Lepisosteus oculatus: one gene and its partners. The protein of the gene in region 3 interacts with the protein of the main gene of each other region in a pairwise test. Links are inferred from orthologs where the notes say so. Each region holds a gene or a part of one and is shown on either strand. Other genes may lie near its edges.

What was found.
Region 1: the proteins of trim59 (region 3) and zdhhc22 interact in binary tests that used the Homo sapiens proteins (3 or more experiments, as listed by UniProt). The link is inferred for Lepisosteus oculatus from reciprocal best matches to the Homo sapiens genes TRIM59 and ZDHHC22.
Region 2: the proteins of trim59 (region 3) and nrm interact in binary tests that used the Homo sapiens proteins (3 or more experiments, as listed by UniProt). The two-hybrid records come from large-scale screens. The link is inferred for Lepisosteus oculatus from reciprocal best matches to the Homo sapiens genes TRIM59 and NRM.

What each region holds. Positions count from the first base shown.
Region 1 is NC_090703.1:9,774,806-9,778,556, reverse strand, and holds the start of zdhhc22 (palmitoyltransferase ZDHHC22), read right to left. Parts: upstream 2,714-3,751; 5' UTR 2,476-2,713; intron 2,054-2,475; exon of another isoform or gene 1,851-2,053; intron 284-1,850; 5' UTR 282-283; coding exon 1-281. UniProt on the Homo sapiens protein: Palmitoyltransferase that could catalyze the addition of palmitate onto various protein substrates and be involved in a variety of cellular processes. Catalyzes the palmitoylation of KCNMA1, regulating localization of KCNMA1 to the plasma membrane.
Region 2 is NC_090709.1:40,369,764-40,373,514, forward strand, and holds the start of nrm (nurim), read right to left. Parts: upstream 2,278-3,751; 5' UTR 2,211-2,277; coding exon 2,054-2,210; intron 208-2,053; coding exon 14-207; intron 1-13.
Region 3 is NC_090708.1:6,005,505-6,009,255, reverse strand, and holds the start of trim59 (tripartite motif-containing protein 59), read right to left. Parts: upstream 3,030-3,751; 5' UTR 2,953-3,029; exon of another isoform or gene 2,773-2,952; intron 1,194-2,772; 5' UTR 1,183-1,193; coding exon 1-1,182. UniProt on the Homo sapiens protein: E3 ubiquitin ligase involved in different processes such as development and immune response. Serves as a negative regulator for innate immune signaling pathways by suppressing RLR-induced activation of IRF3/7 and NF-kappa-B via interaction with adapter ECSIT.

The DNA of each region.
Region 1 (3,751 bases), on a different chromosome or scaffold from region 3:
CGATCCGGGCAGTCGGGCGAACACACGGGCACCACGCTCTCGTTGGCGCTTTCTGCCGGATAGCGGATGGTCATGACGTAGTTGCCCAGCGCGTTCAGCATTAGGAAGAGGAAGATGGCGGCGTGGAGCAGCGTGGATGCGCTGGGGCGGGCCCCGGGTCTGTCAAAAATGGTCGGTATGAAGAAATAAAAGTGCAGGGCGAACGTGACCACCGTGGCTGTGAAGAAGTAGGCAGGAGCGATGGTATTGAGGAGCTTCAGTTTCAGCATCTTGAAATACATTCCTACCGGGGGAAAAAATAAAGACGTGGCGCTAGTAATTAAGGCATACACCGGTGAACCTCCTCAAAATAAGGAACGAGTCCAGGTTTATTCCCTGCTGAAAAGCGAAGAAAGGAAACACAACGTCTCGACTGTGGAGCCTTCTTCGGGTGTACCTACTTGAAAAACCTCCTCAAATAACGCGTCTTAGAAATATACGGGCATTGTGTCAGACATTGAGACCCCATTGTGATTTTTGAATGTGGGCATCAGAGATGCTTTGTCTTGAAGTGCCTAGTGTGACAGACCATGCAGTGACCTCCCAATTATTGTCCTTCTCTCTCTGAAAGTCCAGACTTTCAGATAGAAATATACGAATGTCTAAGAGTGTAAAGAGTTTGCTTATTGCAAAGCCCCGTAGGTGCAGCACTGTTTGTTTGTTTGTTTTTTCAGACAAAGTGATATCAATGGTATTTGTGGAACAGTTGCATTTTGCTTTGTAGGCAGGCACTGTACAAGGTATCTAGTGTGATAGATAATCTAGGGAATGTGTACAGTAATTAGGACTTAACAGTATTAATCGGTACATCTAAACGTATGTACGTAACACTTATATGAAGTCAAAGCTGCTATTATACAATTTTATCGCACTGGTAACGGATTACTGAAACGAGCATTAACCATAAATACTAGAGGGTTACAGTGACTACATAGCCCTGAAAGGTGTTTCCAGTAAGAAGTAGATATGTTATAACTCTGCATGATATATTTAAATGTGTGTTAATTAACATTTCTTTTCTACAATTAAATATTGTGTATATTAAAGGGTAAAAATGTGTTGTTTAAATGAAGTATCTGATACACTAAACGGATGATTTCAAGTAGTCACGACAATGATGCTTGTAAAGAAAACTCAGCCCAGCGTGCAGACATGTTTTGAACCAATTTAATTCAGAAGGAACATATTCGCATTAATATCTGGAGAGAAAGAAAATATATGTCAGGTGAAGCCGTAGAGTGGTCATTTTTCGATTGTTTTAATTATCAAAGCAAAAACAGTGACTCCAAGATCATTGGCAGACCCAGAAATCACATATCTCATAAACATACTGCACAAGCGTTCATTAAAAATTAAATTCCTTTTTCGGCAATAAAATGTTTTGTTGTAATAAACGGATACCCCGCATCAAGTGGGAAAATTGTCTCTAGAATATAAATAAGAGTTACTCCTTATTTAAGCAATTAGCTGCTTATACTGTACATACCGTACGTTTAATTAACAATTGTACTGAAAGCAACCGAATGCGTTTTGTCCATTACTGCTGTTTACTCCATCTCAGTCTTAATTGTTTCCATAGCCGTTAGCCAGAAATAGAGCACGGACTCTATTTCTCTATGTTTTTAAAAAGATATCTTCTTTCTAACGCCGGTTTCGTGTTGTGCAAGGTTACCGCAGCGCATATGTACATCAGTAATAACGAAACACCGTAATGTGCAACATTTGACATACAGAAGCTCACGAGGGGAATGCCGAACGAGCATCTCGCTTCAAAATAGAGTCTAACCCGAAACTTTAGAAAGGACCTTCACCTTCAGTCGGCTTCTGTGCGGCGGAGCTGTCCTTTCAGCACCAGGGCTCGGCGACACTGACGAGCAGCGAGCTCATTCAACACAAAGAGATTACGTGGCGTCAAGAAGACCCAAGCTTTTCCTCTCTGTCTCAACGGCGCTGTCGGCGAAATGTCTAGCACCGCCTGCTGGTCTGGACGCTGGACTCTTAACTGGAGTCTTGATCGCCTTGGTCGGCTCCAGTACTAGGCAACTCAAAGTGAATCTACGAGGTACAGGAAACCCCGATCAAAGCCTGCTGTGAAGCCTACGTCATTATCCCCCCCGTTTTATTCACTGTAAGATGATCGTTTTTACCAGATTTGATCTCAATCCTTCAAATAATGCGATCTTGTTCAAATATTTCCCCTTTAAGATCGTTTAATATGAGAGATTTATTTTTTTTTCTATTTATTGATTTTGTCCAAATTATTTAATAAATGACCATACGAGTCTTGGGTACGGCTCTTGTCCGCCTCTCCATCTCTGTCGGATACTGCAGGAAATTACATTTCGGCCAGCAGGTGTCAGGCTTTATTTGTGAAGTCTATGCCAGAATCCCAGCATCACAGCTCAACCCATTTATTTTAAAATTAGTCACTCTTACCTTTACCTGCCGAACACGTTGAGTCGAGTTAATGACCAGCCTCTGTGTTTCCAGTGATGTATCCAGTATGTCTGCAATAAGAATATATTAAATGATGGAATTGCTATTGCTTTCGTACAACTATTGCAACGGTGTTTTTAAAATCCTCGGTCACGATGTAAAATGTTTATAACTATATATCAGTTGTTATTCGAATTCCCACTTGAGATATTAGAGCTCACTGAAATTCCAGAAATGAATAACAGAGTTCCTGTTCTAAATACGGCGAATGATTTGAGGAGTCGCCTCGTAACTGCGGCGTCGCATTTTGAAAACTGGGCTCTTGTGGGTGATCCCTTACTTCGACTCTGCTATTGAGTTTACAGACGGTCCCTAAGCAGGTGGGAGTTCCTGTTGTTCTTGGTGCTGATGCAGAAAAAGCCTGGCGCATCCTAATAGGAGAACAGAAAATAGGACCAAGGGTATAGGTAAGAGATTTTAATCGTTTATTATAACTCTTAATTTGTCTGATAGTCACGCTGTATTCTTAGAGATTTTCACAATGCGCTTCTTATCTGTGGGCGATTCAACCCATTATGTTGAAGTTGCAGCTTTAGAAAAGTGGGTGGATCGTGAAGTGCAGCAGTTATATTAGTACTGCAGTAGTGAAGACAATAAAATAGCTTGGAACAAAAGCACGGTGACAGCAGAAAAGCCTTACGATGTAAATGAAGCCAAACTGCGGGAGTGTGGTAATGACGTTACCCCTATGCTTCTGTTATTTTTGTGGACTTGTGTTTTTTGTAAAAACAAATGACTCCGCCCGTTGGGGAGACTACGGGACGGGACGTCTACTCCATAATGGGTAAATGCATAATCATTAAATTGCGTTTTTTACTCAGTGTTTAAGTCACTGAGTGTCTCCCTCTCACGCACAGATGCTGTAGAAACACTGCGTGCTTACACATACAGTATACGGGCTGATGGTGCAGTATCTAGGAACCCCTCGATACATGCTGTAATAAGTATTTGGCAAGTCTCTTAGACCTCAGCGTCATTCTTCTGAAGTTACAGGCACGGCGAATTTCAAATTTCCTGTTATCTCCTGCCCAAAGTCCTGTAACAATAATCGTATTTCCCTCATTTCATAAAAATAGCACTTAGTGAAACGTGCTGTTGATTTTTGGAAGACGGATGCTAACAAAAAGCTGGTTTTACGGAACCAGCCCCATCAAACTCCATTCTGTAAATGACGGGATGGGAGAAATTCGCATACAAACCTAATGCAATAAAGGCG
Region 2 (3,751 bases), on a different chromosome or scaffold from region 3:
GGCACAGGGGTACCTGCAGCGCCAGCGCGGTGGTGAACACGTAGAAGGCTCTGTTCATGACGCCCAGCACCGCCCGGCAGGCCTGCTTCACCGGAGCCCAGGCGAGGGCGCTGTGCTGCAGGGCGAAGAGCAGGACCAGCCCCCCGTCCACACACAGAGCCCTGACCACAGCCTGGTCACGCAGGGCCTGTCCCCAGGACACTGAGTCTGAGAGAGAGAGAGAGAGGGGTTCATACACACACACTGACTGGACACTCCAGGACATGAACACTGCACTGAGAGAGAGAGGGGTTCACACACACACACTGACTGGACACTCCAGTACATGAACACTGCACTGAGAGAGAGAGGGGTTCAGACACACACACTGACTGGACACTCCAGTACATGAACACTGCACTGAGAGAGAGAGGGGTTCAGACACACACACTGACTGGACACTCCAGTACATGAACACTGCACTGAGAGAGAGAGGGGTTCATACACACACACTGACTGGACACTCCAGTACATGAAGACTGCACTGAGAGAGAGAGGGGTTCATACACACACACTGACTGGACACTCCAGGACATGAACACTGCACTGAGAGAGAGAGGGGTTCAGACACACACACTGACTGGACACTCCAGTACATGAACACTGCACTGAGAGAGAGAGGGGTTCAGACACACACACTGACTGGACACTCCAGTACATGAACACTGCACTGAGAGAGAGAGGGGTTCATACACACACACTGACTGGACACTCCAGTACATGAAGACTGCACTGAGAGAGAGAGGGGTTCATACACACACACTGACTGGACACTCCAGGACATGAACACTGCACTGAGAGAGAGAGGGGTTCACACTGACACACTGACTGGACACTCCAGGACATGAACACTGCACTGAGAGAGAGAGGGGTTCATACACACACACTGACTGGACACTCCAGTACATGAACACTGCACTGAGAGAGAGAGAGGGGTTCATACACACACACTGACTGGACACTCCAGTACATGAACACTGCACTGAGAGAGAGAGGGGTTCATACAGACACACTGACTGGACACTCCAGTACATGAACACTGCACTGAGAGAGAGAGGGGTTCATACACACACACTGACTGGACACTCCAGTACATTAACTCCAATTATTTGATACATCCTTCATGCAAGTGACTTTAAATGGTGCAAAACGTTTTTTAAGTCGTTCAGTTAAAAAGCAGACCGCCCAACGTGGGGCTCGAACCCACGACCCTGAGATTAAGAGTCTCATGCTCTACCGACTGAGCTAGCCGGGCTGGTGTGAATATCCGGCGACGTGTTCTTTTAAATGAATGCAGCGTGTCGTGACACGATCACCGAGCTGCGCGCAAAACACAAACACCAGTGTGTGCAGCGTTTGCGCGGAAGATAAACAGCAGAGCAGGAAGAGAAGAGAGCCTTTTTTATTACGAGGTTTCACACCGACTGTATTTACACCACAGGGAAACATCTGCCTGCCTCTCTTAAGCAGAAAACAAGTAAAAGATCCGAGTAGCTCCAGGAGAGCTTTTATTGATTTCAGATGGATAGATCCTGCGGCAGCTGTCTTTTTTATATATGTATATAATATTATTTGACAATTAATTACGAATAACTAATCGGTCGACCAGAATAAAATCTCAAAACACGGAATAATGGCGGACCACCTTCGAATCGCTTCGTAAAGACGGCAGGAAAACTGAGCGATATATCACCCCCCTACTTCATTTATTTTTTAAAAAGGCAGCGATTTGTGAAAGTGTGCACCACCCACACACACACACATACAGTGACCTGGCGCAGGCTGCGATCACAGCTCATGCATTTCTCGTATGAAAACGGGCGCACAGCGAGAGCAGAAAAGGTAAACACCGCCGCCCAACGTGGGGCTCGAACCCACGACCCTGAGATTAAGAGTCTCATGCTCTACCGACTGAGCTAGCCGGGCTGGTGCACGCAGCCCCCTGACCCCCGAGTTTTTCTTCATCGCAGACAGCTCGGGAGTGAAGGATAAACGTTCATACACACCCACCCACCTACACACACCGGGGCGCCGCCCGTCAGGTTGCGATAAATCGCCCGGAACGACAGGAAGCGCACGAACTCGGCGCCGGTGCCGAAGACGAAGACGAAGTTGAGGAGGGTGAGGGCGGCCAGGCACAGGCTGGGGAGGGTGACGGCGGCGGCGGCCATGGGCGTCAGAGAGAGAGGAGACACACACACACGCTCACGCACGCACAAGAAGAAAGGAACCTCCTCTCTCTCTCTGTGTGTCTCGCCCAGCCCCTTCCGCCCAGAGCGGCGCTGCAGTGAGGCCCGGCGGCCGCCAGGGGGAGCCCTTGCGCCTGTGTTTCCGCCCAGCGGCGAGACACAGGAAAAAAAAAACCCGAATCACAGTCTCTCTGCATCCATAAAGCGGGCTTTTAAAATAAGATTTTAAACGAGCCGGGCCCTCGCCGCTGTCAGGACCAGAGGGCCCTGCGAGGCTTTGCCGAGATCCGTGAGCGAGTTCGGGACCGGAGCGGCCCGGCTAGCTCAGTCGGTAGAGCATGAGACTCTTAATCTCAGGGTCGTGGGTTCGAGCCCCACGTTGGGCGGCGCCGGATTATTTTCTTGCTCAATAGCATTTCGTTATGCCATATGAGTATCATGCCAATGAACTTGAACTTGCTCTGGCTGCGGGGGGACTCACGGGAAACGTTTTCCAGCTCTTGTTCCCGACGGGATTAATCTCCCTCGCTAATCTCCCCCGTCCACACACAACTCTGACGAACGCGACGGCTGTCTCTGGGGGCGAAAGGACCCGGAAACCGGGTTTAAAACGCTCAAGACGCGGCGTTTCCGGCCTTGTCCGAGTGGGCACCCCTCCCCACGTCATCAAGCACTTGATTCTATACAGCGCCTTTCAAAGGAGGCTTCACAGAACGACAACAGCATGATTCATCATCCAGGGGATCCCCATGACCTGTAAAGCGCTTTGAGTGGAGTGTCCAGAAAAGCGCTATATAAGTGTAAGCAATTATTATTATTATTATTATAATGTCTTACACTTATATAGCGCTTTTCTGGACACTCCACTCAAAGCGCTTTACAGGTAATGGGGACTCCCCTCCACCACCACCAATGTGCAGCATCCACCTGGATGATGCGACGGCAGCCATAGTGCGCCAGAACGCTCACCACACACCAGCTATCAGTGGGGAGGAGAGCAGAGTAATGAAGCCAATTCATAGAGGGGGATTATTAGGAGGCCATGATTAGTAAGGGCCAATTGGAAATTTGGCCAGGACCCCGGGGTTACACCCCTACTCTTTTCGAGAAGCGCCCTGGGATTTTTAATGACCACAGAGAGTCAGGACCTCGGTTTTACGTCTCATCCGAAGGACGGCGCCTGTTTACAGTATAGTGTCCCCGTCACTATACTGGGGCATTAGGACCCACATGGACCACAGGGTGAGCGCCCCCTGCTGGCCCCACTAACACCTCTTCCAGCAGCAACCTTTTTCCCAGGAGGTCTCCCATCCAGGTACTGACCAGGCTCACACCTGCTTAGCTTCAGTGGGTTGCCAGTTGTGAGTTGCAGGGTGATATGGCTGCTGGCCATAATAATTATATTATTATTATTATTATTATAGGAGTTTATGGTGGGCTCTGAATACAGCAGAAGCAGAGGGGGTGAAGACCGGAAGCCGTTCAGGAGAGGCTGTCCCGCAGAAGCAGGCTGGGAGTCTGTG
Region 3 (3,751 bases):
TGACACTGTGATAAAATCTACCAAAACTGACTGGAAATAAACAGCCACATCCTTCCCTGAATAGAAAGGGGCAGTTATTTCACACGCATAATTTTGAATCATTTCATTAATTTGATACATATCAGAGTACCGGCTGAGCTGAACGCCAATCAGTGCGCTGCCCAATAAAACCAAGAGCAAAAGCAACACCAACACAGACCTACTGACATACAAAGCTTGTAGTCTGTTGAAATTTCTGGAAATAACTTGGCCCTGACAGTGGTTAATTTGTGGTATTTCCTCTCTTTCAAGGTTCCCAAGAGTAATCCCAGACCACTTGTGTTTCAGATATTCCCCAGCCCTTGGATAGATGTACAAGGGTTTAACAACTGGAAGGGGTGCTTTACTCAGAGCTGCAACTCTTTCTCGGAAGATATGAACCTTCTCCAGAAAAAGAAGGGGAGAGTCTTCCTCCTCCACTGCTGCACTGTACGACATGAGCTCCAGCTGCTCCTCCTTCATGTCCTTAAGCGTCTCAAGCAGTGGGTCATACTCACTTGAGAGCTTAGCGCCTGCATCATCAAGAGCAGCCAGGAACTCCCGTTCCTTCTGCGCCAGGGTCCGTTTAATCTTCTCAAAGTACAGCACCACGGATTCTTTGTCTTGTCTGATGAGGTTTTCACATCCAGCTTTCTGCTGCTCCAGCTTTTCTGCTAACAAGGAAACCTCGGCCCACCGCTTATCAGTCAGCTGCTCCACGAGCGTCCCTGGAGCCTCCTGCTCTTTCATGAAGGCTGCCTGCAGGTCGTCAATGGCATGACCCCGATGCCGCCCAATGGTAAGACAAACTCCGCAAATCAGCTGACGATCTTGGAGACAGTACACGTTCAGTGGTTGCTTTGGGTGCTCCTGGCAGGAGGGAGGTTTGGACTGGTCGTCCCTTTGAAACTTCTCTATGATAGCTCTGAGAGACACATTGGTTGGCAAGGCTTCAACCCCTGTTGGGGGCAGTTCCACCATATTTCTGCAGTGGGGGCACTTAAGGGGGGTTCTCAACGGCCTCCAGATAGAGAAATTGACAGAAACCTGGAGAACATTTTCCAAACAGCCTTTACAAAAGGTATGGGAGCACGGCAGAACACGAGGGTCACTGAACAACGAGTAGCACACTGAACACGTGAGATCCTCCTCCAGACTTTCCATGCTTTTTTATTCTGTAAAAAAAAATGCACTACGTTAAGGCGTACCCAGTATGCCTGCATGTCTGAAGAAAGGTCTTTAGCGATCTGTACTGTGCCTGCCAAGACACTGCAAGTCTTGGTGACACAAAACAAATATCTGATCATCAAACTACTGAAACAAAGACCAAAAATATAAAGTGATTACCCACTGAAACCGGTCTGGGTGTATTTTTTTTAAACACCGCAATTCAATACAATTCTTTGTATAAGTAAGTTGATATTTCTATTTATAAATAATGATCAAATACATTAATATAGATCAATTTTCCAAAACCCAAGTACAAGCCATAAGTTAAGTGCAATTAAAAGTGAAAAAAACAACTAAAGAGAAACACACAGGATAGGATGTAGGGCAATGAGACACAGTACCCAGTAAAAAAAAAAAGTGAGTTTTGAGTTAGATAACAGTTCTTTAAAACGTTTTCGTTCCTGGAAAATTGAACGACCAGTTAACCAAAGAGCCTAATGAATTACTGTGCAGCTGTTTCTATAGGAATGCATATGTACATGAAATAAAGATCTAAGAGACAAAGTCGTGTATCCTCCGAGGACAATAAAAGATAATGGTGATCAACATTTCTTAAGAAGCTGGTGCAACAGGTTTAAATTGTTCAAGCACTACTGATATTTCTTCCCAGCGACTCTCCTACGGGAGTTTATTGACATTTCGCAGCAGGCTGGCTAGACAGTGTCATCCCTGATTCTTTAACGAGACTTGACTCGGTGTTCAGCATCAAGATGCCACTTAATCGCGTCATGTAAATTGAATCTTTATCATTCACAAGCCATTGTAAGAACTATTTTTGCCCCGAGGTCATATTGGCAATATCATTCAGACATCAATTTATCATGAAAGACCACCGAGAGTTGTCATTAACAGGTCTGTTGTTAAGAGTACGACAGTGCCGATTCTTACAATCTGATCATCCACAAGGAAACGACATTTTCACAAATTCACACGACTTCGGATAAATCCGCACAAAGATACTCGATTCAGAGGCATTAAAACCCTTGGTCTCAAGATGAATAATATCCCAGACATTACCCGCTGTCGGTAAGACTGATACAAGCGAGAATAAATGTGAGATTTAGTTGACAAGACAAGGTTCAGGAGCAACGTCTGACGAGAATTAAAGAGTTTTTTAAAGTTTTAATTACGCACTTCTTGAGTTGAAAGCGATTAAACTCGAACGTCAACGGTAATTGTAGCTTGTTCTGACTTTTACAGACAACAGGCTATTGTGAAATATACAACAATTGACTTTTCGTTATTTTCTAATACATGTTAAACACAAATTAGCGGGCACCTTGATTTATTAAATTAATCTAGTTTTAGGCTTGCTCATCGCTCTACTTCAGCATTTTTTTAAAAAAGTACGCAAATCCAAAACGTTATTTCTTCTCCGCCCATATATAGATATAAAACTAACAATGACCGGTTCCGCTGCTCGGAATACAAAGTCTTTGTGCGGTTTCTTGGAGGATAAAATAATATATATATTTTTTTAAAAAATTGCAAGTGATTATCCAGAAATATCCGATTCACTCCAACCTGTGTTTCAAAGTTGCAACACCGAAGGATCACCGGGCTTTTCCACAGCGCCTGCAACCCTGGTCATTCTTCGAGGTGGACAACTTCATTTTAAAGTTTCATTGCGACGCTGTCGGCGGAGAAGCTATCTCTCACAACCCCTTCGCAGACATAAATCCGAAGTCTTCACCTTCACCTCACCTGTTTTCAGTCGTGCGGTCACACACACACAGAGAGTCCCGGGATCTTCCGCACGGCCTCGGCCCGCACCGTCTGCGCAGGCGCGCTCGTTTCGAACCGCAGCCCGCCAATGGCGGCGACCCTCCACAGGCGTTTAAATGTAAATCAACGTGACGCGGAAAGAAAATCACCCTCCAGCGCACCTGCCAAGAAACGTACTGCACCCGAAGGCAAATCCGGCGCTGGGAAAGGTTACACCGGCATCGGCTTGTTGAAAATGGGGATTGATTTGGCAGGGAGGTTGCTTGCGCTGGGGCCAGTAGTCTCCTCCAGCTTCGTCGAGCCCCATGCTGAACTTGAACTGCTGCAACTGGAACAAAACTTATCTGGGAATCTGTGTAGTAGGTGCAGTTTTTTTTCTTCTGACGTACATTAAACAGGGAAATCGGAATAATACAATCTTCCATAGGGTAGGAGTGTAGGTCAAGCTTTGGGACAAAAAGATTGCACAGCTTTGTGCTTACATTTTTGTGGAACTTGGATGCGAACTCATTTTTCAACAGATAATGTAAATTAATACTCCTGCGACCAGTTTCGAGATGTATAATAGATGTAAGGTGATAACTAGCACGGTAGATCTTCATTTTAAGTTATTTCAATACGGGTTTAAATGTTCTTAAGTATTGAAAACGGGCAGTAGCTTGACTAATCTGTTTAGGTGAGGTATGACCACAAAACCGTAGTTCTAAATTCAAGAGAGTGAGAAAGCTTCTAACTTGCATTTTATTCAACTCCCAACTCGCAGGCCACGGTGTGTAAG